Danio rerio: one gene and its partners. The protein of the gene in region 2 purifies or fractionates together with the protein of the main gene of each other region. This does not show direct contact. Links are inferred from orthologs where the notes say so. Each region holds a gene or a part of one and is shown on either strand. Other genes may lie near its edges.

Region 1 (5,040 bases), on a different chromosome or scaffold from region 2:
CAAGGACACCTTAAAATAGAGTAACCAAAAATGAAAATGGAAAATTACGCCATGGCATTATCAGAAAAAACATTTAAAAAGTAGTCACAAAAAGTACATAACTATTATCAAAACCTAAACTGCAACAAAAAAGAAAAATCAATGAAAAATTAAAAGTAGTAATAGCAACAAATAGGTACATGAGTAATCCTAAAATAACAGATATACACATTTATACACATCTTTGTAAATTTTTAGATACATTTACATACAGTGAGATTACTGATGCTGGTAATAACTGACCCATGTTGATGTTAGTTTTTTTCTTTGTGTATTTATTTTTCTCACCCTCTCCGCTTCTTACTCAACCCTTGTTGTGTCGGTTCCACCAATCTCCGGACAAGCCGCAAGCATTTAAAGCCTCAACAGACCAGTATGTGGTGTGCGTTCTGCCTCGGAATACCTTTTGTGCTCCACACAATTTGTTTTTGACATGCTTAATCTGTTTAGTGATTCATTATCTCAGTTTACTGTAGTAATTCGAGTTTGCTTGTTGAACTTCGTTGGCTTTGAGTAAAATAATGTACTGGTTGTTGTGCGATTCTAAACTGAGTCTTTAACCGTCTTGTTAGGTTTGTTTTAGTTTAGATGGATTTTTGTAAGATTAGTTTGAGTGTTTTCCACCAGTGTAATTTTGAGTTTTGTAGTTTATTTAGTTTAGTTCGGGTGTCGTGTACAAGATCTCAGTTTTTATTTTCATTACTTCTTTTTTGACGCCTAGTACTTTAGATTTAAGGAGAATTGTTTTGTTTTGTTCATTTCTTTGATTTGGCTTACACTCGTTGTTTTTGTTTAAAGAGAATAATTGAAAATGTTTGATACTTTTTTCATTTATTATTGTTACACATTGTTTAAACTATTGAGTAAAAAAAAGCTTAAATACTGAATTGATTCCTGCCTCATCCTTCATCTGTCGCACACATTACACCTGTCTCACCTAAATGTTACAGCATCCCACTTAAACATCTTAAACTCATAACAACACCCATTTTAATACAACGCACCACATATCTGCATAATACCATTATTCAACAAAAGTCATCAACCTGTATTACTGTTCTATCCACATATTCCAATATAATGAAGATTTGTGTATGTAAATCACCTTGACAGTTAGTTTTAGTGTAAATGATGTTCAGATAATATTGCGGCTAGCTTGTTATTACATTAGTATAACTGTTTTTTACTGTATTTCCCATTCATATAAACAGATATAAACTTTAAATGTTCTTGCAGCTGAATGTTTATCGCAAATTTCATTGATAACATAGATGTTATGTGGGTATTTTTTGCTGAAGTGAGATACAAAGCGAACTAATCAGTTAGCAATCTAAATCCGATTAACAAGACCCGTAACATTTGCACTGTAAATATCGGTAAAACAGCCCGGTTTGAATGCTGTTAAGTGTGTAAGTGCATAAGAACATAGTGCATAAGTGCATAGTGTATAGTGTGTCATTTGGGACGTAGCTAAAGCAAGTACATGTCATTAATTAATATTCCTCCTCAGTAGTTGGAGTTACAATGTAACAAGGACACGTTAAAATAGTGTAACCAAACATGAAAATGTGAAATTAAGTCATTACAACATCAGAAATAACATTTAAGAAGTAGTCACAAAAAATACATAATTACTATCAAAACTTAAACTGCAATAAAAAAGGAATGACAATTAAAGTAGTAATAGCAACAATTCAGTACATGAGTAATACTAAAATAACAGATATACGCATACATCTTTGTAAATATATGAGCAATTCCATGCAAATGTCAACCTTGCCAAGAAAAAATTTAAGTTTTCAAATAGAGAAAACGTTCCTACATTTTTTGTGTAGGATTGTATTTTAAAGTACTATAAAAATGCTCAAAAATGTCTCTGCGAATGTTTTCAAACATTTATATTTGATTTACCAAAAGCACACAAGTGGCAATTTCACATCTGTCACATCCATAATAACAGAGCTTTTCCCTGATAAATGCAGAAATGTCAAATAAATAAAATAAATTATGTTTGTTCTATAGTGAGATCTTTTTAGATCCTTTTGATTAGTATAATTTATTTTGGGTTGTGCAGTTTATTTCACAGAATTTCTACAAAGTTTGTTGTATACTGTAAACTCTATACTGTAAAATTTTTGTCACATCTATAACGCATGTTCATTTTCCTCATTTGAAATATAAAAAATGTTTACAGATTGATATTTGCCATAACTCTGTGGTCAGTTGTTTTAAAAATATAAAAACAGTTGTTTCAATATATTGTTAACATCTACTTTCTCTGTGAATTTATGTGTTGAGTTTTTACTCCAAATGTCACAAGCATAACGCTGGAATTGCTCATATACATAAATGTACATATTGTATGCATATTTCACTTCACTTAACGTTACAGAGTAATCCGTTACAAATCAAAAGTAACGTTACAGTGAGATTACTGATGCTCGTAATAACTGACCCATCACCGCTATGCTAAACTAGCGGTTCAACACCCATTTTTATACATCACACCACAAATCTACATAATAACACTATTCAGCAGATTTCATCAACTTTTATTACTCAAATGTTATTACTGTACTGTAGTCAGATTACGTTACAATTATGATTTGTGTATGTAAATCGCATTGACAGTTAGTTTTAGTGTAAATGATGTTCGGATAATATTGCGGCTAGCTTGTTATTACAATAGTATAACTCCTTTTTACTGTATTTCCCATTCATATAAACGGCCGTAAACTTAATATGTTCCTGCAGTTGAATGTTTATAGCAAATTTCATTGATAACGACGTTGTTATGTGCGGATTTTGTAGCAGACAAGAGATACAAAGCGAGCTAATCGGTTAGCAATCTGAGCCCGATTAACGAGGCCCGTGACATTTACGCTGTATATATTCGTAAAACGGCCCGGTAGCGCAAGCAATGTGGTCGATTTGTGTGCAATTGTTAGATCTGTTTCTGTTTGCGGATGTTTTTTCCTTGTTATTAGCGTATAATGGGTGATTTTAGCTGGTATTACCTGAGTGAGGGTCGCGAGGGCTGCCATCTTTTCCCTGTTGCTGCGGAAACGGCGGGTGAGGGAATGAGGGGGGGCTGAAGACGAGCGGATTAAAATATTGTTGAATATTCTTGTCGAAGGTGTTTTATTATTGTACTTTATATTTCAGATATGCCCTGCAGTGTTGACAAATGAATGTACTTATAAAATATTTATAAAGTAAACAAGACTTTAAATGAGCCCCTTTTAATTTTTTTTTTAAATTTTTAACAGCCTATTTCCCAAATTATGTTTAACAGAAAAAGGAAATTTCCACAATATGTCTGATAATATTTTTTTCTTCTGGATAAAGTATTATTTGTTTATTTTGGCAAGAATAAAAGCTTTTTTTTTTTTACATTTTAAGGACAAACTTATTAACCCCTTTAAGATATTTTTCTACTGTCTACAGAACAAATCATTGTTATACTAATATATAACAATGTTAAAAATTATATATAATATATAATAACTTGTCTAATTATCCTAATCTGCCTAGTTAAACTAGTTAAGCCTTTAAATGTCACTTTAGATATGTCTTGCAAAATATCTAGTAAAATATTATTTACTGTCATCATGACAAAGATAAAATAAATCAGTTATTAGAAATTAGTTATGAAAACTATTATGTTTAGAAATATGTTGAAAAAATCTGCTCTCCGTTAACAGAAATTGGGGAAACAAAAATAAACAATCAGGGGGGTTAATATATCTGACTTCAACTGTATACTATCTTTTATGTAGTATTATAATAAAGTAAATAGATGATGCAGTATATATATATGATATAAATATGTATGATAAAGGAAAGTATCATATATCCAAGGGTGGATTTAGTGATTTTTGGGCCCTAAGCAATTCCAGCCATACATGGGTCCCAAGTCCTGAAATGCACCCTTTCTACTTTTATTCATTCGCTCATTTTCTTTTCGGCTTAGTCCTTTTATTATTCCGGGGTTGCCACAGTGGAATGAACCTCCAACTTATCCAGCACGTAAGGTTTTTACGCAGCCCTTCCAGCTGGATCCTATCTCTGGGAAACATCCTCACTCATTCACACTCAATTTACCTATACCGCATGTTTTTAGACTGTGGGGGAACCGGAGCTCCTGGAGGAAACCCACGCAAACACAGGGAGAACATGCAAACTCCACATAGAAACGCCAACTGACCCAGCCAAGGCTTAAACCAGCGACCTTCGTGCTGTGAGGCGACAGCACTACCTACTGTGCCACTGTGTCACCCCTTTCTACTTTTACTTAAATATTATTTATATTGCTGTTTGTTGTATCACTCAATCTTCTTTTCTACATTTTAAATGGTTAATTTTTTATTTTAAAATTCATTGACATCTTAAACAAATATTTTTCTTTTATCAATTTGACTGCTGGATTGCTCCATGAAGGATATTTTATTTTGTTATATTATTATTATATAACATTACATTATTATTTTAATATATTTGATTGATTAATTTCCCAGAGATGGGTTGCGGCTGGAAGGGCATCCGCTGCGTAAAAACATGCTGGATAAGTTGCGACCCCGGATAAATAAAGGGACTAAGCCGACAAGAAAATGAATTAATGAATTAATATTTGATTGAATATCAAATAATATTCATTTATGTTCAAATTGTATTTGTTTAACTCTCACCATGCAAAATATGATAGAATACGATGTTAAATAGTTTATAAGTATAATTTATATTTCTAGATATTTACTGGGAACCCCCAGATTTCCTGGGGTCCTATGTGGCCACTTACCTCGCTCATTGGTTAAAACTGCCCCTGCATATATTTATTGTATAATCTTATTCTTCATATAGATATATCAATGTTGATCAATGAATTTAGCAAATTATAAATATGTAAAAAAAATTTTACATCTTTCTTTTTTAATTTAAGTAAAATATTATTAAGAAGTATTAGTGTTTTAACAACACATTGTGTATTTTATTATTATAGAT
Region 2 (4,436 bases):
TATTTAAATTTAATTCAACGAAGGAGCCGTTTACATTGTATTACCAAGGTAACTACTAATAGGTTTGTGTAATTTTTCAAAGAGCTTTGTTGCAGCATGACAGTGGAAAATGAAACCGTATCCGTGCTGTCTGGCCCGGTTTGGCACGGAATGGAACGGTTCTGCATAAAGAACGATTCAGCACAATAGTGGAACAATGGGCTTTTAATTTGAAATAACCTAATGATCAATTAATTCTTGGCTAGAAATTGCAACAGCCCTGTGAAAGGAGGAAAGTTTTTGTTAAAAAGTTTGGAAAAACCTGAAGAGTTTATTAAAGCCAAAAGAGGCCATGGCAAAAGTGAAGATCCAGGTACAAGTTTGCAGAATATGCTTTTCCACCATTCATAGGTTTTACACTGACGTATATATTATAATTTTGAACTGAAAACAATTTAATAGTTACAAAACTATAATTAAGGAACAAATTATTTCTTTGATAACTGGGAAGGAATATTTGAACCTATCGGTTACAGCATACTGATGGCCTGTTTTTTCTAGGCTTTATTGATGACAATGGTCAGGGATGTTGGACCATTGTTGCCTGTTTAGTATAAGTACAGGACAGAAACTAGACAGACAATAATGTGTGAACTGTGGTGTGGGCTAAATCTAAAGAAAAACATCTGTATTTTTTAGTAAGTGTACTTTTTTTCATTTAATCCTGACATAATAAAAATATATATTTGTATAGCAACCCATGTTCTGTTGTCATTAATATTTTAATAAACTTTAATAGGTAAAACTGCCGAAGATATGAACAAAAGCAAGTGATGCATCAAAGTTTGATTAAAAAAAATCTTGAATGGTTATAAAAATCCTTATAATCATTTAAATAACTTATAAAAATCCTAAAAATAATTTAAAAAGTTGTATTATATTAACGATATGATGTCATTCTGGAAACTTTCCACTTCTCTGTTTATCAATCTGTCTTACTGGTGGGTTTCTTTTCGGCGCCACCCTGTCGTTTTAAAGAGTATCACAACAGCGAACACGGCAAGTATAAAAGCCTTATCCATTTTGTGAGATGCACACACAGTCATCAAAAGTGCGCCAGGCAAAAGTATAAAACCAGCTTTACACTTCACATATGTTGCATGCATGTGTGAAGACCTGTCCAATCACCTCTTAGTAAGTAAATATAGAGTTTCTCAACATTCAGCATGGCAAGTGATGGAGATAAACGGCAAAAGTGCAGGTGAGACAAAAAAACATGACAGCCATTAGTGTTTCAGCAGACACTCAATGTAAATTCAGACAGTCACCCAAATAACAAATGCCAATTTTCTTGCAAAAAACTTAGATGGCCTAAATAGCCAAAAATGTAAAAAATTTTAAATTTTAAAAAGGTTTATTGTTCTTTGAATTTGTCTGCAGCCATCATTTGTAAACTTTGCACATACCATAACGAAACAGTCAACCAAAAACCATGATAAACCATTGCAACCAACGTAGTTAACTGTAATGGACTCACACACTGACCTAAGAAATAAAGGTAAAGTTGGTATTATATTCGCACATCGGGACTTTCACCTTCTTAATATAATTTCAGAAAAGTATCTTTTGCAAATTCTAAATAAGGTAATCATATGAGCAGTCAAACTCCATCAAACAGGATTCTATGACTTTCCAGTACTTTCAAGTACATTTTCATGGCGTAATGTTTCATGTAATGTCAACATGTACATGGGAAATAATAAGAAAAACAAGGATGTTAAAATTTATTAAAGCACATCATAGAACACGCAACCATCTATTTTGTTTACATTTGTTTTCATATTGATAGATTGTGAGAGCAAGTTTTTGGCCAAGGATAGTAAAGAAGTAAAGACAACTAACCTAAATTCAAGTTACGGCAGCAAAATGTATCAATTCAGCATCGATATCGCAATTTGTGCATCCACTATAGTCACATGGCAGGATATGCAATGTTGCAATGATTAAAGTTTAATATAGAGTTTAAACATAATGGAGTAAAAGTTCAGCATCAGTACGTCAGCATGCATTTTTAAAGAGATGGTTCACCCAAAAATTACTTCCCATTTATATTACACCGATCACTTGTTTCAAACATTTATGCGTTTTCTTTTTTTTCTTTTTTTTTTTTATGAACACAAAAAGAATCCAATTTAATAACTCCTATAGTATTGAAACAAGTGAAGTGCGAGTAAATAGTGAGTACATTTTAATCTTTGAGTAAACTATCCCTTTAAGGCCTGTGACTGAAATGTTTTGTAACTATTTTGTAAATAAAGTTTAAATAATATACAATGAAGACCTGAAACCTATAATTCACCTATATCTTCACTATATTTTATTTATCTATGCTTGTAATTTATTTGTTATTTATTAGTCGAGATTCACTCCCCTACAAAATTCCCCCAATCAATCCAAATAAACCTGTTAAATCATCAAGTGAAATTGTATTCACATCGCAATGTACATCACAGAAATACAAAATATGGTAATGTCAGATTTTTCCAATATCGTGCAGGTATACAGGTAATTGGTAAACACATTTTCATGACATTTCCAAAACCTTGTGGGTTTTTCCATTTTTTCAAAACTTTTCCAGGACTTGAAAATGTCATGTCAAAATTCCATCACTTTTCCAGGTTTTCCATGACCGTATGAACCCTGATCAAAGTATATTATTGTTCACAGTTAATTAAATAGAGATAATGATGCTTTGAAGTCATACTTTGCAAGCGGTTTTGGGGAAGGGTGTCACAAATTGTCAATGTTATGTGAATATAAAACTAACTTTAACCCAAGACCTGAGAAAAATGTTAAAAGCGAGTGTTGTACCTCAACAAAGTTGGTGTGTTTGGCATCACGGACTGTCACTACAGCATGCACCTCTTCAATTAGCTTCTGCTTCTCATCGTCATCAAACTGCATGTACCACTTGGCCAGTCTGGTCTTCCCAGCCCGATTCTGGATGAGGATAAAGCGGATCTGGAAATAAACAGTAAAATAATAAAAATTTTGTAAATCAGTCAGTAAAGCATAAAACATAAACCTTATTGGGGTAAAGTTGGTTTTATATTGGCAAATATTCAAAGTTTTTCCTTGATAATATAATTTCAGTAAAGTATTCTTTGCAAATTCTAAATAAGCGAACCATATTAGCAGCCAATGGCTATCAAAGTACAACATCGTTCACAGTCTATTAAATAATGGCTTATGTTTCTCAGCAAAGATGCAATGTAGAACCTCTTTAATCCAGTGTTCTGATGATGGAGGGGACATAAGTTTCCATTTGAGGAGAATTGCGTGCCTGGCGAACAAGGAGGTAAAGGCAATGACATGGCGTGTTGATGTTTGTGCAGTTGGGGTTGGAAGATAAACTGAGACATTGTTTTAAAGGATCACTGAACTTTAACAAAACATGAAGTCCTATACTGTCTGTCATTGAGAACCTTAACATTTCAGGACCTGCTGACTAGAATTTCAAAAGGGAGACTTTTAGTGTTTACTTCATATTTTCTTCTTCTATATTTACCCATTTATATATATATGATTTTAGACTTTGGTTGAACGACTTTACTCTGAGAAATAATCTCGGTTACACGGTTATCACGATTATTTTGCATTTTTTCATTCATTCATTTCGGCTTAGCCCCTTTATTAATCCGAAGTCGCCACAGTGGAATGAACCACAAAATTATCCAGCATATGCTCTACACAGCGTATCCCCTTCAAGCCGCAACCCATCTCTGAAAAATATTATGCATTTATTTATTTTAAAACACTACTAGCTTAAAAAATCACCTGGAAACTCCTCATATTAAAGTTTTGTTTATTTCTGCTTGGTAATAATAATAATATATAAGCAAATTATTAATAAAAACAAACAATAGTCCTTTCTCTTTGGACTTAAAATGAAGTTTAAAAAGTATTTTTTGCATTCAGTTAAGATGAACACAGTTTCTATAGTTATACTTTATTTATAGATAAAGGTATATGGCTCTGTATATAATCACTCTATCTTGCTGGAGTTTATAGCCGTTTCGCTTTACTTCAGGACACATTATTGCCGCTCTGAAGGTCTAATCACTGTTTTAAGTTATCCAGAGCTGTATGAATGTACAAATCTTGAATATCATAATATTATTAAATATTAAAATTTTATCAACATATACAGCAACACTTTTGCACAATCGATACCCAGCTGATTCAGTCGTTTCATAAGAGGACCGCGCTTCTTCTCTTCTTTTTTCCTTGTCAACATAAGGGCAGTGAGGTGCACCTCGCGTTTTTGGAATGAAAAAACCACGTTAGCTGTGGTCGGCCACTTGTTCAACTGCAAGACATACTTAACTTGCGGGACGACAACGTATAACCCGTGCCTACAGACACATTTGCCAAAGAAGCTAAATGGAAGAAGAAAA
Region 3 (5,029 bases), on a different chromosome or scaffold from region 2:
ATTTTGCAACATTTTGCTTGAATTTAATTACATTATCTTTCTAGTTCTAAATATGTTCTATGACTAAAATATTATTTTAATAAATATATCTGTTTAAACAAAAAAAGTTTTGTTTAAATTCACCAATGTTACCCAAATTCATTGAGAAATGGAAAAAAAAATTTTTTTTAAAATGGGTTGTACTCAGTCACTGAGCACTATATATACATGTTGTGTATACGAAGAACACATTTTACAGTGTTTGTCTATTAGAGGGCAGGACATTTTAACAATCTGAGTAACAGATGTACCTGAAGATCCTCAAATGGTCTTATGTTGTCTGCTCAGACTGGTTATTATCACGTGGCTGTCTCAATCTGATGTAATCTCTGTCAATATTGTGTTAAATAATAGGCATATGTGTGAAATTTTCCCCAAAACTTGTTTGAAAATGACAACAATAGTCATCTTTAATCTTTTCTTAAATTAGTAAAACATTGACAGTTAAAGGAGGTGCTTATAAATTATTTCACAATAACAGACATTTATTAAATATATTGAAAATAAACTGAAATGTAATAAAGATGCGGAATGAATCAATGAATTAACATTTACACTAAATACGATTTTACTCAGTAGAGACCATGGGACAAAATGGCTTGCTTATTAATTAGTTTGCTTTCTATTAATTATTCATTCATTTTCTATTCGGCTTAGTCCCTTTATTAATCCGGGGTCGCCACAGCGGAATGAACTGCCAACTTATCCAGCATATGTTTTACACAGCGGATGCCCTTCCAGCTGCAACCCATCCCTGGGGAAAACTATTAAGTATGATTTCTTAATAATTAATTAGCTTTTAATTATAATAATAATACATTTTATTTATAACACGCTTTTTTAAAACCCAAAGCGTCTACAATAAAGTAAAGACATTAAAAAATACAATAAAAACACAGTAAGAATAAAGGGGATATCACAAATTTTAAAAAAAGTCCTAAAAAGATGAGTTTTAGGTAGCCTAAAACAGTCCAAGTAACCAGTATTCCTAATTCCTTTTAGATTAATTTAAACGTTCGAAACTACAGGACAATTTATTTAATATTTAAAAAATATATATTGTCATGCAACCAAACTGTAAAGGACCATTTGAACTCTAAATTCACCATTTTAGTAATGCGTTCAGAGATGTTAATCGATGTGTAATTTCTGTTTACATTAAATCCCCGTTTTAAGAACAATCTGTTTTTAATATTAGATAGAAATCTATCCAATCATTCTAAAAAAACACACTAGGACACAAAAGAGGAAAGTGGCAGTCAGCTCTCCACACTCTCCCAAACCACCCATTCACATCTTTCACCGACTGCACGATCTTCAAACTGCTGAACAAAACGCAGGCAGAGACAGTCACCCAGGCCGCCCCATCAGAGCAGAGCATCTGCAGGACGCGCCTCGCTCACACCAATCATGACAATGGGAAGGAAACGGACAAAAGCAAAGTTAGGTTGTCAGACAGGCGGATTGGGCAATAACAAACCTCCCACTAAATCTACGGCGAGTCACGAGAGTTCCAACTTTATCAGTGTGACGGGGGACTTCCAGAACACGAGGAAGAAGCGCGCCGCCCGCCCGCCGTGCACACGGTAACCGACGCTAGCCGCGAAAACACCCCGAACGCGCTGCTGCGCCGAGGACTGCGGGATTATTTTTGCAGTCGCGTGCTTTACTATGAAACGCGGTGTCCTCCTCAAGCAGATAGAGGAAGCCAGTCAGCTAGCGAGCTGGCTAACTGAACTATCCAAAGGGGAAGTGGCAGCAACCATCGTTTAAGAGTTTCGCTAGCGTAGCTTCCGCCCAACACACCCACTTTCAGTCTGCTTGTTGTTCGCGTTGGTTTCAAATAACCGGGACTTTAACCAACTTCGGCTTTCCACATAAAGCATGCGTGTGCTGAACGGAGCGTTTCGCTGTTGTTAGCCAGCTAGCGAGGCAAATGGTCTCTCTGGCTCTCGCAAAGGCTCGCTAGCCAGCCGAGACTGGAGTCGGCCTGGAAACACAGCGGTCGTGCTCGTGTTGTTGTCACTCATTAACGACAAAACGCTTTACTTCTATGCTGTTGCTTCGCCTGGCTTTTGGGGGAAATAAGGAAGCATTCAGCGACGCCTTTCTGCGTCCCTCGAGCGCTGAAGTGCCTGGCGCATCTTGGGAGAGCAGATCTCTCAGCATGCTGGACAAAAGAGCTGAGATCATGAGCAGACTGGAGTTTTAATCGTCTTTGGCTCGTTTGGAACTGTCCGTTTTGGGGAAGGCGGGAAAATTAGAGGCAAGAATGAAGAAGTTTTCGCGAATGCCGAAGTCTGAGAGCGGAAGTCTCGGGGGTGGGTCTGGATCTGGTACTGGAAGCAGCAACTACATTGGGAAGGTGTTTGCTGTCGGTCGATACCAAGTGACTGTGGAGGAGCTTATCGCTGAAGGTAAATGCATGCACTGGATTTAGGCCAAAGAAAAGATTATGGTCAGACTTTTGCTACTGATGAAATTTGTAGGAGCCCCTCGGATATTTTCCATAGCATCATAAGCAGTTCAAGAGGGGCTAGATGTATATGCAAACATGATGTTTACGTTAGGTTGCAGCTCATCATCACATCAACAATGATCTTTCTCATAAAGTACTTCCCTAAATCTAATGTCATTTGTTGTCTGTGTCACTGTTAATAATCACATGGTTTTGGATCAGGAGGTCTGGGCTCTTCCTGAACTTGATCTCATGTTTGTCAAACCAGAAAAAAAGAAATCCTGTGTCTTTTATCTTGTCCTCACTATAGATTTAGTAAAACCTCAGGCCTTTTTCAAAGATTAAATTGTTTTATTGCCTTGCGATTACTACTCTTGGCCTTGGCACAGGTAGTAAAACAGTTTATCATCACACATACAGTTAAAGTCAGAATTGTTAGCCACCCTGTTTATTTTTTCCCAATTTTACGGAGAGAAGATTTTTTAGAAACACATTTGTAAACATAGCTTTAATAACTCATCTCTAATAACTGATTTATTTTATCTTTGCAATGATGACAGTACATAATATCTTATTAGATATTTTTCAAGACACTTCTATACAGCTTTAAGTGACATTTAAAAGATTAACTAACTTGTTCTGTAGACTATCGAAAAAAAAGGGGTTAAAGGGGCTAATAATTTTGACCTTAAAATGGTGTTTTAAAAAATTAAAAACTGCTTTTATTCTAGCCGAAATAAAACAAATAAGACTTTCTCCAGAAGAAAAAAATATTATCAACCATACTGTGAAAATTTCCAGAATCTGTTCATCATCATTTGTGTAATATTAAAAAAAATAAATAAATTAAAGGAGGGCTAATAATTTTGACTCCAACTGAAAGCCATGTTATCCCCATACAATTCAGAGAACTGCTTCTTTTTGATTTAACAGTTGCTCACTTAGCAGATTGAAGCAGCTTATTTTGATGATAAACTCTACTGAAGAGTTATAAACATTGTAAGAACCAACTTGGTACACACTTTATGAAATGACACTTTTAAGTAGTCCAGTAAATCCCCGTCTTTAGTGTATTTTAGTGTTTTATTTATGTGTGTGCCATCTAAAACACTCATAATTCTGTCATCTATTGCGTTTTAAAATACTAGTGTGTTTGTTTGTTTCCTGTGCAAATGTTTTTAGTTCTGCGAGTTTCACTGAACAGCAACTTGGCAGCCATCAACTTGCTGACTGGACACAATTATTTAATTTGCCATGAGTGCAAAAGTTCGCCCTCACAAACAACTGTTGGTCTTGAAAAATGTTTTTATTCTTTTCCTTGTTTTGGGGTTATTCATTGTTTATTGAGCTAAATGGTTTTGATCACTTTTTGGTAATTTAACAGTGTTTCATGTAATTTAAAGGAAAGAAAATATCTTAAAATATATAATATTATACAAAAACATGTTGTCTTCATCTTCCAGCAATGATTACTGCCCAAATATACTTTATTTGTTGCATATTTTAAGTTTGTGTACAGATATATTTAAAGCTAGGTTTGTTTGTTTTCTGATTATAATGATAATTTGACACTTCTAAAGAGATTTACCCCAAAATCTAAATTCTGTCATTCACTCGCTCTCATTTCATTTAAACTCGCTTTAAAAATAAATTTAGAATTTACACTTCGATGACGCAGTGGCGCAGTAGGTAGTGCTGTCGCCTCACAGCAAGAAGGTCGCTGGTTCGAGTCTTGGCTGGGTCAGTTGGCATTTCTGTGTGTAGTTTGCATGTTCTCTTTTTACCATCTACGACTTGTGGCAAAAGTAAAGTCGTTTCTCTCTTTTAATGACCTTGAGAAGGTGATCCATGCTTTTATTCTGGGAAGACTTGACTATTGTAATTCTCTGTATGTGGGTATTAGTCAAAATGCCCTAAACAGATTGCAATTAGTACAAAATGCAGCTGCGAGACTTCTGACAGGGACTCGCATGTTTGAGCACATATCCCCAGTTCTTTCCTCTCTGGGCTGGCTGCCTGTTAGGTCAAGAATTGATTTTAAACTATTAATCTTTGTTTTTAAATCCTTAAACAATCTGGCACCATCATACTTATCAGACCTGCTACACGTATACAATCCAGGTAGGTCACTGAGGTCTTCTGATGAATTTATTCTATCTGTACCAAGGTCCCGGTGTAAGCGAAGTGGGGATCGGGCTTTTGCTGTTGTCGCCCCAAAACTCTGGAACGGGCTTCGGCCCCACATCAGACATGCTCCAACTCTACCTGTTTTTAAAAAGTGTTTGAAACACCATCTTTGTTCCTTAGTATTTGAGCCTTTTTAATGTTGAGGGATTTGCCTTATGTTTTAATTGTTATTTATGTGATGTAGATTTCATGTTTAGTATTGATTGTGTTCAGCAGTTTGGGCAACGTTGTGTTGTAAAAAATGTGCTATATAAATAAACTAAACTAAACTAAACTCCAGGTGCTACGGTTTCACTCACAGTCCAAAGACGTGGTATAGGTGAATCGGGAATGCTAAAATTGTCT

What was found. The genes of interacting proteins can lie anywhere in the genome.
Region 1: the proteins of ap2s1 (region 2) and eps15l1a purify together in Homo sapiens (affinity purification with mass spectrometry; 4 studies listed by BioGRID and IntAct, counting the BioPlex papers as one, with this or other methods). This does not show direct contact. The link is inferred for Danio rerio from reciprocal best matches to the Homo sapiens genes AP2S1 and EPS15L1.
Region 3: the proteins of ap2s1 (region 2) and bmp2k purify together in Homo sapiens (affinity purification with mass spectrometry; 4 studies listed by BioGRID and IntAct, counting the BioPlex papers as one, with this or other methods). This does not show direct contact. The link is inferred for Danio rerio from reciprocal best matches to the Homo sapiens genes AP2S1 and BMP2K.

What each region holds. Positions count from the first base shown.
Region 1 is NC_133197.1:15,674,270-15,679,309, forward strand, and holds the start of eps15l1a (epidermal growth factor receptor substrate 15-like 1), read right to left. Parts: upstream 3,107-5,040; 5' UTR 3,084-3,106; coding exon 3,057-3,083; intron 1-3,056.
Region 2 is NC_133190.1:9,940,426-9,944,861, reverse strand, and holds part of ap2s1 (AP-2 complex subunit sigma), read right to left. Parts: intron 3,001-4,436; coding exon 2,851-3,000; intron 1-2,850. UniProt on the Homo sapiens protein: Component of the adaptor protein complex 2 (AP-2). Adaptor protein complexes function in protein transport via transport vesicles in different membrane traffic pathways.
Region 3 is NC_133180.1:40,002,372-40,007,400, forward strand, and holds the start of bmp2k (BMP-2-inducible protein kinase), read left to right. Parts: upstream 1-1,923; 5' UTR 1,924-2,311; coding exon 2,312-2,456; intron 2,457-5,029. UniProt on the Homo sapiens protein: May be involved in osteoblast differentiation.